3 linked regions of the Canis lupus familiaris genome follow. The protein of the gene in region 1 interacts with the protein of each later gene in a biochemical or structural test. Links are inferred from orthologs where the notes say so. Each region holds a gene or a part of one and is shown in the gene's direction. Other genes may lie near its edges.

What was found.
Region 2: the proteins of LZTR1 (region 1) and KRAS form a complex in vitro, tested with the Homo sapiens proteins (2 studies listed by BioGRID, with this or other methods). The link is inferred for Canis lupus familiaris from reciprocal best matches to the Homo sapiens genes LZTR1 and KRAS.
Region 3: of the proteins of LZTR1 (region 1) and HRAS, one has a biochemical effect on the other in vitro, tested with the Homo sapiens proteins (3 studies listed by BioGRID, with this or other methods). The link is inferred for Canis lupus familiaris from reciprocal best matches to the Homo sapiens genes LZTR1 and HRAS.

What each region holds. Positions count from the first base shown.
Region 1 is NC_049247.1:30,684,116-30,688,781, reverse strand, and holds the start of LZTR1 (leucine-zipper-like transcriptional regulator 1), read left to right. Parts: upstream 1-1,939; 5' UTR 1,940-2,022; coding exon 2,023-2,222; intron 2,223-2,691; coding exon 2,692-2,754; intron 2,755-4,666. Other genes in the region: AIFM3 (apoptosis-inducing factor 3), read left to right, coding at 474-494, 722-970. UniProt on the Homo sapiens protein: Substrate-specific adapter of a BCR (BTB-CUL3-RBX1) E3 ubiquitin-protein ligase complex that mediates ubiquitination of Ras (K-Ras/KRAS, N-Ras/NRAS and H-Ras/HRAS).
Region 2 is NC_049248.1:24,281,320-24,285,985, reverse strand, and holds the start of KRAS (GTPase KRas), read left to right. Parts: upstream 1-1,819; 5' UTR 1,820-1,962; intron 1,963-4,666. UniProt on the Homo sapiens protein: Ras proteins bind GDP/GTP and possess intrinsic GTPase activity. Plays an important role in the regulation of cell proliferation.
Region 3 is NC_049239.1:25,992,775-25,997,006, reverse strand, and holds HRAS (GTPase HRas), read left to right. Parts: upstream 1-1,068; 5' UTR 1,069-1,123; coding exon 1,124-1,234; intron 1,235-1,412; coding exon 1,413-1,591; intron 1,592-1,714; coding exon 1,715-1,874; intron 1,875-1,961; exon of another isoform or gene 1,962-1,969; coding exon of another isoform or gene 1,970-2,032; exon of another isoform or gene 2,033-2,509; coding exon 2,510-2,629; 3' UTR 2,630-2,942; downstream 2,943-4,232. UniProt on the Homo sapiens protein: Involved in the activation of Ras protein signal transduction. Ras proteins bind GDP/GTP and possess intrinsic GTPase activity.

The sequences.
Region 1 (4,666 bases):
TGGTTGCAAATGGGCTGGTTATTTGTGCTCTTGTGGGTTAGAAGGACAGGGCCAGTGCTGTGCGGAGGGGTCAAAGCCCTTGGTCAAAGCCACTGCTTGGGCAGTCACCCGGCCTGGGACACCCAACTGGACTTGGTGGTGTTGAGCCTGACAGAAGCTGGGGGTGGTAGTGGTGAAGGCAGCTGGGGACACCCTGCACAGAGATATTGGGTAGTTGTTTGGGGTCCGGGGGTGGGGGGACACTGGATGTCAGCCATTACCCTCACCCCAGGATGGTGCCAATGCAAGTCACCCCGTGGGCTCAAACTGCCTACAGAGAGGTCCCCTCCCCCTGCCCAGAGACTGGGGAAAGCTTGGAGACCAAGGGACAGGAGTAGGCCTCAGGCTGGAAACAATGGAGAACCAAGAGGGAACATGAATGACATATTCTCTCCCCGGCCTTCTCTGTCTCTCTCCCTCTTGCCTTCGAAAAGGCTGTTTGTGCTGCACAGCAAGTACGTGGTCCTCTGTCCTTCCTGTCGACCATTCTGAGCCTTTCCCACCTCAGCCCAGAGCCTGTACCCCCATGGTCTTCCCCTTTCTGCTAAGTACCCATTCCTCCTGGGCACCAGGGCCTGGCACAGAACGGGCCTCCTGCTGTCCTCGGGGATCACCTGTTCATGGTGCTGAGTGGGTAACCTGCTGTCTTCTACCCTGACTCCTCCTCCCCTCATTCCTGCAGGACCGGCGACATGTCCTGGCTCACAGGGAAAGGATCCTGAGCTCGCATGCAGCAGACTTGGGCAGGCACGCTTGGGCACCAGGGACAGAGGCCAAGCCCTGGGGGCAGGTGCCAACCTCCAATTTCCCAGGATCCCCCAGGGCAGAACCTGAGCCTTCCCAGTGCTTGCCTTCGGTTGCCTGGCTCACCTCCAGAGGCTTCTGCTGCCTCCAGGAGATGCTTACTCCCCGAGGCCTCAGCTGCCACTGATGGCTGGCAATCCAGGCAGGACAGGCCTATCCTCTTCTCCCTTTCTTGAGACTGGTCCCCTGCAGGACCCTGCAACATATTAGATATTATCTTAAAAAATTAAAACACACACATTTGCAGATCTGTGTGACTTCCATTGTAATTGGACAGACACTCATGAGGGAGAAAGCACAAGCACACGGTGCTCAGCGCCACACCAAGGAAGTTTGGTCTCTGAGCACACTCAGAGGAGATAGCAACTGATTCTGTCCCTGGGGTTAGGGAAGGCTTCTCTAAGCAGTGTCTTGGATCTGGATTTTGAAAGAAGGGCACTTCAGGTAGAAGGGACAGCACGTGCCAAGCGTCTGAGATGGGAAGTGCTTCCTCGGGGGTGAGAGGCAGCTCGCTTGGCAGTTTGGGGGCATGTGCCTGCCTAGGGCAGTAGGGCCTGGGTCCTGAGACAGAGCCCATGCTTTTCATGGCAGCTAGTTCCCTGAGTCCCCATTTTGCAGGGGAAGAAAATGAGGCTCTGCCATTAAGTAGGAAGGAGAATCTAGAGCCTCTCATAGAGCCAAAAGGAATACCGCGGGGGAGACGCGGCAGCCAGAAGTGGGGGCGCAGGGCTTCCTCCTAGGTCGCTGCAAGCCCGGAACCCTCCACCCGGGATCCCGGGGGCGGCGGACGGTCAAGGCCGAGCCCCGCGCAAACAGGGCATGCCGGGAAGTGTGGCCCCTCTCCCGCAGACGTGGGCCTGGCCGGCGCCGGGGAAGTGCAGTCCGGACGGGGCTGGGGACCGGACGCCGCCTTCCCTGGAAGGGGGCAGCGGCCGCGCGTACTGGGCGGGAAATGCTTCCCAGAGGGTCACCGGCTCCCCGCTTCCCGGGGGTGGCGCCGGCCCGCGGACTCACGAGGAGCGCTCAGTTTGCCGGGAGGGGCGGGCGGCCGAGCGGCGCAGGCCGGAAGTGTGGCGCGGTCGGCACAGGGCTCGCCTGGGAAATGTAGTCCCTCGGGGCGGCCCGGGGCGGTGGCTGCACGTCCCGCGGACCGGGTGGCTGATCAGGCGTGGACCCGGGATGGCTGGGCCGGGGGGCTCGGGAGGCCCGATCGGGGCCGGGGCCCTGGCGGGCAGCGCACGGTCCAAGGTAGCCCCGAGCGTGGACTTTGACCACAGCTGCTCTGACAGTGTTGAGTACCTGACACTCAACTTCGGGCCCTTCGAGACAGTGCATCGTTGGCGGCGCCTCCCGCCCTGCGACGAGTTCGTGGGGGCCCGGTACGGCGGAGTAGAGGGGGTCTTGGGGACCGGGGGTGTCTGGGAGGTCCCGGGGAGGGGCCCAGGGGCGAGGCCAGGGCGTGGAGTCCAGCCCTGGGTCCTGGCAGTGGGGGGTGGGGAGGAAGTGATGGTGCCCTGGAAGATGTCTGGAGCGGAGGGGGTGTGCAGAGGGCGTCTCGGGGCGGGGTGGGGCCCGGGGCAGGTACTAGGGCCAAGTGGTGTTGGTGGGTCTGGAGCTGGGGTCCCAGCAGCTCTGCAGTGGGGCCCGGAGTCCAGAGAGCCCCCCGGCAATATCAGGGGTCTGTATACAGGGTCCTGGGGTACTGGTGGAATTTAGGGACCTCTATCCGTCTTAGCAGCCGAGAGGTGTTACCTAATTTCTGCGGCAGCCCTCGTGCTTAGCCTCATTCCTTGGGCGCCCCCAGGAGGGTCCTGACCTCACTGCCGCCCACCCATTCTTTCTTTCCAGGCGCAGCAAGCACACAGTGGTGGCCTATAAAGATGCCATCTATGTATTTGGTGGAGACAATGGGTGAGTGAGTATGCATCAGGGTGTTAGAACCGGGGGAGGGAGAAACATGGTGGCACTTCTCCTTCACTGTAGTTCTCTTTGGACTTTATCCACATGCTCACATGGCAGCATTTAGAGGGCACAGTTTTTTGTTTGTTTTGTTTTTAAATTCCCATATTTTCCACCTTTTTGCAAAGGTGTTCCCACATTGCCATAAATTCCTGGGAAACAACTTTCCTGATGTTTTGTTGGTGGACACACTTCTATCCCATGAACTATTCCCACTTAAGTGGTGGCTGGTCTCCTTTGGTTAAAGATAATGGCTGAGGTAAACCTTTGGTTTGTGTGACTGCTTCCTTCTGGTGGTGTTCCCCTAAGACCCATTCCCAGAGGGAAAGAGCTCTTATCACAGGCTGGGCCATGTTAAGTATGGGGCGTGGGCATAGCAGACATGCTTGGAGAGAAGGGGTCTGGTCTGGGCAGAGAAGCCTTCCTGGAGGGGTTGATGACCTGAAAGATAAGTTAGAGTGAGTCAGGTAAAAGAGAGTGTTCCAGGCAGAAGGACCAGCATGGGCAATGGCCCGGAGGTTGGGGGATGCAGAATGGCACCAGGCCTAGAGTCTGGACAGGGCTTCCCTCCCGCATTCATTCGTTGATGTGGTTCAGGAAAGGCCAGGGATGCCCACCAGGGCTCTGGGAGGCTTGGGAGCCTGCTAGACGTGGGGCTGAAGCTTGAAGCTTGATCCGGATAGACCGAGCTCAGTTCAAATTAGAGCTTTGTGACTGGGCTCCGGGTGGTGGCTTAAATCTCCTCCTCTGTATAGGGGGTGCCTGCATGCTCTGCTTTTGCAGTGTGCTCCTCAGGGTCAGTGAGCACAAAGCTGGGAAGGGCTCAAGACAGAGGTCTGGCTGTCCTGCAGATGCAGTGTTTGCACATGACCGATTTCTGCCCATGAGTCCATCCCTGCCTCTCAACCACAGGACGTGGCCTGAGGTCCAAAAAGGGCTGGCCTCTGATCGGTTCTGCAGCCTTGGTCTTTCAGGACTCCCTGGGGGTGAGGGAGCTGACTTGGAGGTGTTGGGGTACACAGGACCCCACAAGGACCTGCAGACCAACAGTGTGGTCTCCTTGGGCATGGCCTCTGGCCTCCAGCCTGTCTCCCCAATAGCTTCTTTCCCCATGAGCAGCCAGAGGGACCCATTTGAAGATGCAAGTCTCAGTGTGTTCCTCCTCAGCACATAGCCCTGGGGACTCCCCTCCGTCTGAGTACAAGCCCAAGCTGTCCTGGCAGCCGACCCTTTACGCTTGCGCCCGCCCTGATTTTCTGCCTTTGTTTTGCACGGCACTGGGCTACACCCCTGTCTTGCTGTGTTCTGAGTGAACCAAACATCTCCTGCTCAGGCCCTGGTACTGGCTGTTCCCTCCTTCCCGCCCTTCCTGCCTCTCTTCTGAATATACTGTGAGTGAGGCCCTCCCGGCCACCTGGACCAGCTGTTGGCCCTCCCCTCCCCTTCTGCACCTCTTGCCGGCCCCATGGTAAGAGCACCGATCCCACAGATACCCTCAGAGTTCTCTCAGAACACACAGATGTTTATGTGTCTCCTCCATGAGGGGGGGACCTGTACCTGCCACACAGACAATTCAATAAATGTGTGTCACGTGAAAGAATGAAATGGGAAGAGGCATCTGCCCACAGATGCTCCCTGCTGCCTTAATGACAATCCCCCCACCCCAAACCAGGCAAGGCCTGGTGTCCAGCCCAGAGCAGGAAGTGGGAACATCCCTCCCAGAGTTCTGTAGCAGGTAGAGTTGGCATGGCAACTGTGTAGCAACCAGCAGAAATAATTTGCTACAATGTGGCATCAAGAAACAGGGTACAGATTTGTCTCACCCTGGTTGCAATTTTGTAGAGATCCACTGGGTGCAGAGAAA
Region 2 (4,666 bases), on another chromosome or scaffold:
GTGAACTTGGGCCCAATTTTTAGCCTCTCTAAATGTGTTTCCTCTTCTGTAAAATAGTGACAAATATTCCTCCTTATGAGGTTGTTGCAATGATTAAATAAGATGATTTGTGCAAAACTTTTATTTTTTTTTAAAGATTTATTTATTTATTCACGAAAGCTATAGACTGAGAGAGGGAGAGAGGCAGAGACACAGGCAGAGGGAGAAGCAGAGTCCTCGAAGCCCGATGCTGGACTCCGGGATCATGACCTGAGCAGGTGCCCAACGGCTGAGCCACCCAGGCGTCCCTGTGCAAAACTTTTAGCAACGACCTGACATAGCGTAGACACATTCTTTTCCCTTCCCTGTCTTCTATTTCCTCATTTCTGTCTTTTCCACCTGCTACTAGGTGCTAGGAGAAAAAGACCAGAGTAAGCCTTGCAGGTAACAGCCCATTAAGGGGGAGGTAGAAAAGGGTGACAGTTGGTGTAAGGCCTATGTTAAGTGAGGTAATAGCTGAGATGCAAAAACAATCGTTATGTCGTGTTTTACGGTGTGGACGAGAGAGAGGAGAGAGAGAGAGAACTGCAAGTAGAGATTCAGCTAGGTGGTCCTATTAGGTACAGACGCTGGTCGGCCAGGCCTCGGTCTTCATTTTTTTATTCATGATAGACATAGAGAGAGAGGCAGAGACACAGGCAGAGGGAGAAGCAGGCTCCATGCAGGGAGCCCGACGCAGGACTCGATCCCGGGACCCCAGGATCACGCCCTGAGCCAAAAGGCAGGCGCTAAACCCCTGAGCTCCCCAGGGATCCCCCAGGCCTCGGTCTTTTAAAACCCACCCCAACAATTTACCTTTCTAGGTAGTTTATCAGACTCCGGGATATGGCAGCAGTTTTAATTGCTCCGTTGTTGAGCGTGTTAACTCCCTGCACGTTACCCGATTAATCTGGGGTCTTCTCCCAGGTCTAAACTATCACGGGGCTCTTCTACTTGAACAGTTTGTCTGGTCTGTGCCGTCAGGGGCAGTAGGCACCTTTGAGGTCGCTGCCTAGAACGACCTGTGATGACTTGGAAACCTCCCTAAAGACAACAACAGAAAAGCAACAGACCTCCTCCCGGGGAAAGCCTGTGTCACGCCCGCTCGGGCTTGGGGCTGGGGCTGGGGAGCCCCCCGGGTGCGGAGGCTGGTGCACCCCCAGGCGAGCGGCGGCGTGGACTAGTCCCGCGCGGGGGAGCTGTCTGCCGGATGTCAGGGTCCCTAAGTGCCCGGAGTCGCCTCCCACAGTTGCTCCCCGCATGTTTATTTACTTGCTCGACCGGCGGTAACTGAACGCGCCCGAGTGCGGCGGGCGGCGGCCTCCTCGCGGCTTCTCCGCGTGCTCCCGAAGGGCGTGCGGCGGGGTCGCTCCCCGCGGGCTCCCGGCGCGTGCAGGCCCCCCGCCCCCCGCCCCCCGGCCGGTGCGGATCTGCGGCCGCAGTCCCGGGGCGGGCCGCCGCGTGGGTGCCGCCCAGACCGCCGAGGCTGCGCCGGCCCGGCTCCCCCGCCCCCCGCCGCCCGCCGCCCGCCGGCGCGGCCCCTCCTCCTCCTCCCCTCCTCCTCCTCCTCCTCCTCCTCCTCCTCCTCCCCGGCGGCGCTCGCGGGCTCCCTCTCTTCCCTCTTCCCACACCGCCCTCAGCCGCTCCCTCCCCGCACGCCGGTCTGGCGAGGAATCGAGCGCCGCGCGCATCGATGGTCCTGCCCTCTGCGGCCGCCAGGCCCCGAACCCATCGGTGAGCTCGGAGCTCGATTTCCCTAGGCGGCGGCCGCGGCGGCGGAGGCACAGCGGCGGCGGCGGCGGCGGCGGCGGCGGCGGCGGCGGTGGCGGCTGCCCGGCCAGTACTCCCGGCCCCCGCCATTTCGGACGGGGAGCTAGCGCGGCGCGGGCACTGAAGGCGGCGGCGGGGGCCAGAGGCTCGGCGGCTCCCAGGTGCGGGAGAGAGGTACGGCGCGGACCACCCCTCCCGGGCCCCTGCCCCGGTCCCGACCCTCCTCGCCGGCGCCGGGCGGGGCCGGCGGCGAGTGAATGAATTAGGGGTCCCCGGAGGGGCGGGGCGGGGAGGGGGCGCGGGCGCGGGCGCGGGGCCCCGGCGGGCGGGCGGGCGGGCGGGGCGGGGGCGTCTGCAGGGGGAGGCGCGGGGGCGCGGGGACGCGGCGACGCGGGGAATGAGGAATGGGCGGTGCGGGGCTGAGCAGGGTGAGGCTGGAGGCGGCCGCCGCCGGGGCTGCTTCCTGGACGGGGAACCCCTTCCTTCCTCCTCCCCGAGAGCCGCGGCCGGAGGCGGCCGGGTGCGGAGAAACTCGCGGGCTGGGCGGGCTGCCCCTCGGGGCGGCCGGGTGCGGTGGAGGTTACTCCCGATGCTCTCCAGGCTCCCCTCCCCCTCGTCCTCTCTCTCTCTCTCTCTCTCCCTCTCCCTTCGCTCCCGCACCTCTTCCTCCCTTCCCAGCCCTCGGCTGCCTCGGTTACTGCCTCCTCCTCTGCTGCATCGAGCATCTCTAGGACGGAGGCATAAACTTCTCCCTCGAGCGCAGACCGGACGGATAGTGGTCCTTTTCAGAGTATAGGGTGGGTATGGGAGTAATAGGAGAAGGTCACGTTTCGGAAGAGCCGAGGAAAGTGCTGAGGAGACCACTGTTGGTGGTTATTGTGTTTGGAAAAAAAAAAAAAAAAATGCATCTGCAGCCGAGTTCCTGACTGCTCCCCTCCCCCATGTATGGGCTGTGACATTGCTGTGGCCACAAAGGAGGAGGTGGAGGTAGAGATGGTGGTGGAAGAACAGGTGGCCAACACCCTGCAACGTAAAGCCCGTGACTTCGTGAAAAGGAAAAAGTTAATCCCAGAAGGTCTGTTTTGCTTTGTCAAGTTAAAACACACACACACACACACACACACACACACACACACACACACACAAAACCCGCAGAGCAGAAACAGGGCTTTTTCCTTGCTAGTTGAGTGTAGACAGCAATAGCTAGAATCCTACTTAAAGTTTAATTTGCCTGTTCTTGTCCTTTCCCGTGTCTCTTGTATATTACCTTTGTCCTCACAAATTTGACCCCCATCCCAAGAAGTACTACTAAATGGCACTCACACACATTTTTTTTTGTTTTTTTAAATTGACTTGCAAAGAGGACTTAATTGTAGCAGTCTCCCAGCCAACTGCCTGAAATACTCTTAAGCATGTGTATGCTCTAGCAGAAGTCCTAAGCTACCTTCTTAAGTCTTGGCATTTATCAAAATAAGAGTTAAAGCAGAAAGGTACTTTCTGATTTTTATACAATATACATGTTATATTTGTAGTGGGGAAAAAAAATCATTTACATAGAAATTACAAAGGGAAAAATTCTGTTCCTAATCATCATCTCAGAATCAACCATATGAGTGATGTCACTCTTAGGTGACTAAGGTCCAACGTGCTGACTCGACCATATGATAGACTATAGACACCAAATACGGTTGATATCAATACTGTTTACTTTGAGACTGTAGACATCCACAGCCATACTTGATTTTAAGAGACTGTAGATGAGAGGATAATTCAGTTTTATGATTCAAGTGACTTTCTTTTTCCTGTAACAAAACACTGGGTTCTAGTCCCACTTTACCCCTCTGTAGCTATGGGTGAGGGCGGCTCTTTCTGGGCTATGATCTTCAGTAAGACTCCGTGGGAACCCAGTTCTGTCTAGTGGATTTAAATATTATTTGGTTTCTAAAATCCAATACAGGGATTTTTTTTTTTTTCTTCCCCAGAAACAACGGCTGCATAAACAGGTAGACACCAGAAGGTGTGTGTCTCTCAGAATTCACACAGTTAAGCTCTAGTCTGGCATCTGTCCACAGTATCTCCTAGGCTATCAAACTTTTTAGTTGAAAGGACACCTTATACTCTTGAAAATTATTGAAGATCCCCATATGGGGTGTGTCGATACGTACCCTAATACAAATTAAAACTGAGAATTAAAAAAATTGGTTAATTCATTTAAAAATAGAAATAATAAGCCTATTACTTGGTAACATAATAGCATTTTTATGAAAACGGTTTTTCAAAACAGAATAGTGGCATTGTTTCACATTTTTGCTAATTTCTTTAACTATATTGCTTAATAGAAGACATCTGTATATCTGGTTCTGTGTTCACTGTATTGTGATCACGCCTGGAAAACTCTGCACTTGTGCAAAGAGTGGAAAGGGTAAATAACATTGTGGTAGTAATAGTATTGTTACTATTAGTGTGGTTTTGACCTCTTGGACCCCCAAAAGTTTTAGTAATGCTACTGGATTCTCTTGGATGACAGTTTGATTAACTACTGTTCTAGGCTATCCAAATTGTTGAGGGGGAAGGATAGGCAGAGAGGTGGCGTACATTTTGGTGTGATTCTTCTCATTGTTCCCCATTTCCTATGGCCTGTTGGAATAAAAAGTGGGAGTGAACAGGATAAGATACATGCTTGTAGAGGCTCCCATGATGGCCTAGCACATAAGGCTAGGTGGCACAGAATAGGCCACGGAGCTGTAATATAACAATTGTGTAGCCTAACTGTTCTTTGTGAGAAGACTAAAATAGCTTAAGGAGGTAACGGTTAATATGTTATCATTTGGAAAATCATATTACCTTTCCTTTGAGGGTGGGGTACTGCCTATTTGGA
Region 3 (4,232 bases), on another chromosome or scaffold:
CGCCCGCAGCCCGCAGCCCGAGCCGCACCCTCCGCGGACGGAGCCCATGCGCTGGGCGAGCCGCGCGCCCCGGCCCCGGCCCCCTTCCCCGCCCCCGCCCCGGCCCCGGCCCCGGCCCCGGGGGCAGTCGCGCCAGTGAGCGGTGAGTGCGGCGGGGGCGGCGGGCGGCGGGGCGGGGCGGGGGCGGCCGGGGCTGCGGCGCCGGGCGGTGGAGGCGGCGGCGGCGGCGGGGCGCGCGGGGGCGCAGGTGAGCCGCGGGCGGGCGCTGCGGCGGGTGCGGGGTGCGAGGTGCGGGGTGCGGGGGCGCCCCGGGCGGCGGCGTCCGCGCCCTCTCCTCCGCGGGCCGCGTGCGGGGCCCCCAGGTCGCCAGGCGCGCCCCCGAGGCCCGGGCGGCGGGCGGCCTCCGCGATGCACAGCGGGCGAGCCGGGCGTTCGCACCGGAGCCCCGGGCACCGCGTCCCGAAACCTCCCAGACCGGGAGCCGGGCCGGAGGCCGCGGCCCAGCGCCGTCCCCGCGCCTACCCCGCCGGCCTGCTCCCGGGGCCGCCATCCCCGCAGCCCGCCGCTGCTCTCCTGCGAAGCTCGAGCGGCCGCGGGCCTGGGGCTCCCCCCGGGACAGGAGGGCCCGGGCCTCGCCCCCGGAGCAGCAGCTGGCGGCCGCGGGCGCTCCGCAGATGCTAGTCCGGTGCAGCGAGGCGCGGCGGGGCTCTGGCCTGCCCGGGCACGCTGCTGCACTCCGCTGTGGCAGGACCTGTTTCTGCGGGGAGGGGCGGTAATCTCAGCCTGCAGGGCCTCCGGGTCCCTCCAGTGCACGCTTTCTGCCTACCCAGCAACTTCTAATTTGGGTGCGTGGTTGGGAGATGCTCTCAGCTGTCAGCTCTCCCTGCTCTCTCGCAGCCATGAGCGCCGGCGAGGTGCCTACCCCCCCCCCCCCGCCGCCCCCCCCGCTGGAGGTGCCACAGGTGGGCGGCTGCGCCCGGTTCCCTGGTTGTGTGGGGCCTGGGGACCGGGTCGGGGCCGGGGTGGTCTGCCCCACGGGGCTGGCTCAGGGCTGAGAGCAGCTTCCTCAGCAGGTGGGACAGGAGACCTCGTTGGCGTCCTGTGCTGCGTCCCGTGAGGAGCCATGACGGAGTATAAGCTGGTGGTGGTGGGCGCTGGAGGCGTGGGCAAGAGCGCCCTGACCATCCAGCTCATCCAGAACCACTTCGTGGATGAGTACGACCCCACCATCGAGGTGAGCTCGCCCAGCCCTGAGCCTGCTGTGGGCATGTCTGCTGTGGGCTCCGCAGGAGGGCGGCCCCTGCTCGTGGGACCTGGGGGTGGCACCTGGGGACCTAGGAGGGGCTGGTGGCTGGGTGGCCCCGTCCTCGGAGGTGTGGGGCTGGGCGTTCTGAAGCACTGGCCTGCCGCAGGACTCCTATCGGAAGCAAGTGGTCATCGACGGGGAGACGTGCCTGCTGGACATCCTGGACACAGCGGGCCAGGAGGAGTACAGCGCCATGCGGGACCAGTACATGCGCACGGGGGAGGGCTTTCTCTGTGTATTTGCCATCAACAACACCAAGTCCTTTGAGGACATCCACCAGTACAGGTGAGCCTCCGGCCGGCCCTCAGAGCCACCTGTTCCTCTGCCTCTCATCGCGTTTCTCTGTCAGGGTCTCGGATGCAGCCGTGCCTGCAGCCTACCGACTGGCTCCCACCTTCCTTCTTGTAGGGAGCAGATCAAGCGAGTGAAGGACTCTGACGACGTGCCCATGGTGCTGGTGGGGAACAAGTGTGACCTGGCTGCTCGCACCGTGGAGTCCCGGCAGGCGCAGGACCTCGCCCGCAGCTACGGCATCCCCTACATCGAGACGTCAGCCAAGACGCGCCAGGTGAGCCGGCTCCCCACCCCGCAGCTAGCTGGGGACCCGCCCCGCCCCGCCCCTGCCAGGGAGCAGTGCTTATTGCCCCCTCTCCCCCGACACAGGGCAGCCGGTCTGGCTCTGGCTCCAGCTCCGGGACCCTCTGGGACCCTCCGGGACCCCCGTGACCCAGCGGCCCCTAGCGCTGTAAGTGTCCCCGGACGGCAGGGCAGCGAGGGAGGCCGGGGCCCAGGGTTTGGGCTGACACAGCTCCAGGGAGAGGCAGAGGTCCCCAGAGAGAGCTGCCCTGAGCCAGGCCGAGTGGTGACCCTGGGGCCCTGGCCCCTGCCCGCAGAAAGCCCCATGGGCCCGTGTAGGCCCTGCCCTCTTTAATGGGCTGTGGGGGACCAGGGTGGTAGGTCAGACAGGAGCGGGACCCTGGATGTTAGAGCTGGGAGCCAGACCTCGGGGCTGCCCTGTGGGGGAGCTCCTGAGGGCCAAGCCGCCTGATGGGGGGAGCCCTGGGGCTGCCTGTGTGGGGGCGGGGTGGGGAGAGGCCAGGGGGAGCTGGGATGATGCATGAGCTTGACGCTGGGGTCCCTCGGTCCCCTGCGCTGCCAGGCCCCCGGGCCGAGCCGCACGCTCAGCCAGCCCCGTCTTCCCAGGGCGTGGAGGATGCCTTCTACACGCTGGTGCGAGAGATTCGACAGCACAAGGTGCGCAAGCTGAGCCCGCCCGACGAGGGAGGCCCAGGCTGCATGAGCTGCAAGTGCCTGCTGTCCTGACGTCCCCTCCAGGGCCACGTTGGCAGCCCCGCTGGTCCTCTGTGCCCCAGGCGCACAGGCTCGGGGCGAGGAGGTGCCGGAAGCTGGGAGGAGGCGCGGAAGGAGGAAGGAGGAGGGCGAGGAAGGAAGGAAGCGCCCCCGGGGCCCGGCCAGCCCAGGCCCCCTGGACAGGGGGAGCACGGACCTCCCAGGGCGCTTTGCACAGACTGTCGTGAACTGAGGCCACGGGCCCCCCCGGCTGTCACTCTCCCCCAGTCCCGTCCTTGCCCGCGGGGCAAAGGCTGAGTCGCAGTAAATTATTTGATGGTCTTGACCCTGGCGTATGGCCGCACCTGCAAGGCACGTGGGGACGTCAGCTGTGTGTGCCTGGCGGCGCCCCTGCAGGGGCTGGTCGGGGCCGGGAGGTCCCCCCTCCTCCTCTCTGGGGGTGTCTCCACACCCCGTGCACAGAGCTCCGGGAGACGCAGAAACGAGCCGGCCGTGCATTTTCACACAACACCTTATTGAACTTGCAACAGCAAACGGGCTCAGAGCCGAGGGTGTGCGCCTTCCCCTGGGAGACCTTCCTGTCCTTAGAGGAAAGCGGGAATCCCACGGGGGTACGGGTGCTGGAGTCGCCCACTTTGGAGCCTGTGCGGACTCCGGGTGGGGGTGTGTGTCCTGAGGTTGGGGTGTTGAGAGGCGGTTCTGGGGACAGCAGAGCTGGCCTGGACCTGCGGCCCATGGGCTCCTGCTCTAGGTCCCCGCAGGGCAGCTGGACCCCGGCCTCGGGCCCACTGGGGCCGGGTGACTGACTGCTGGAGCCCCAGCACGTGGAGGAGCCTGCCTCCTGGTGTGGGTGCGGGTGGGGCCCACGGGCCTGCCCCTGCTGCCCTGCCCTGGGGTGTCCCGGGATCCCCAGGGCTGCCCTAGGTCAGTGACCTGGATCTGTGGGGCACGCCCAGGGCCCAGGAGGCCACATCCGGCTCTGAGAGGGCTCGCTCAGCCCGGGGCCAGAACGCAGGCCTGGCCAGGGCCCCGGAGCACTGGATCCCATTAGTGCTGGGCCTGGGGGGCAGTTCTCGAGTCGCCCCTGCCCCCACAGAGCCTGGGGCCAGGCCAGCCCAGGTCCCTCTGGGTCAGGGGTTGGTGTCCTGTGCGGGGGGTGCCGCCCTCCGGGAGGGACAGCAAGATGAGGCAGGGCACGGTGACGGCGGGCCAGAGCCTCTGGGCCCCCGCACTCACCACCACGCTCTGCCCGCGAGCATTGAGCTGCCCTGTGGACGCAGAGGGCAGAGGGTCCCGGGCCTGTGCGGGGCCTCGGGGCAGCGGGCTCAGCGCCGCCCTGGCTCTGCCCTGGCTGTGCCCGTCACTGCCCAGCGAGAGGCATGAGCTGCAGTGGCCGCGGGGCAGGAAGGGTGTCCTGGGCCCGACAGCGTCGTCCCTAGGGGGCTGGGGGGACCCCGTGATGGGAGTCCCGGGGGTGCTCCAGGGCCTGGTCCGTCGCGGGGCCTCTGGGGTGGCCCAGGCAGGTGCCGAAGGGAAGGGGACCCCGTTTTTTGTCTTCAAGCCCACCGTGTCCGGGGGCCACCTGCCCGCACCGTCTTGTTACACTGGGAGGGTG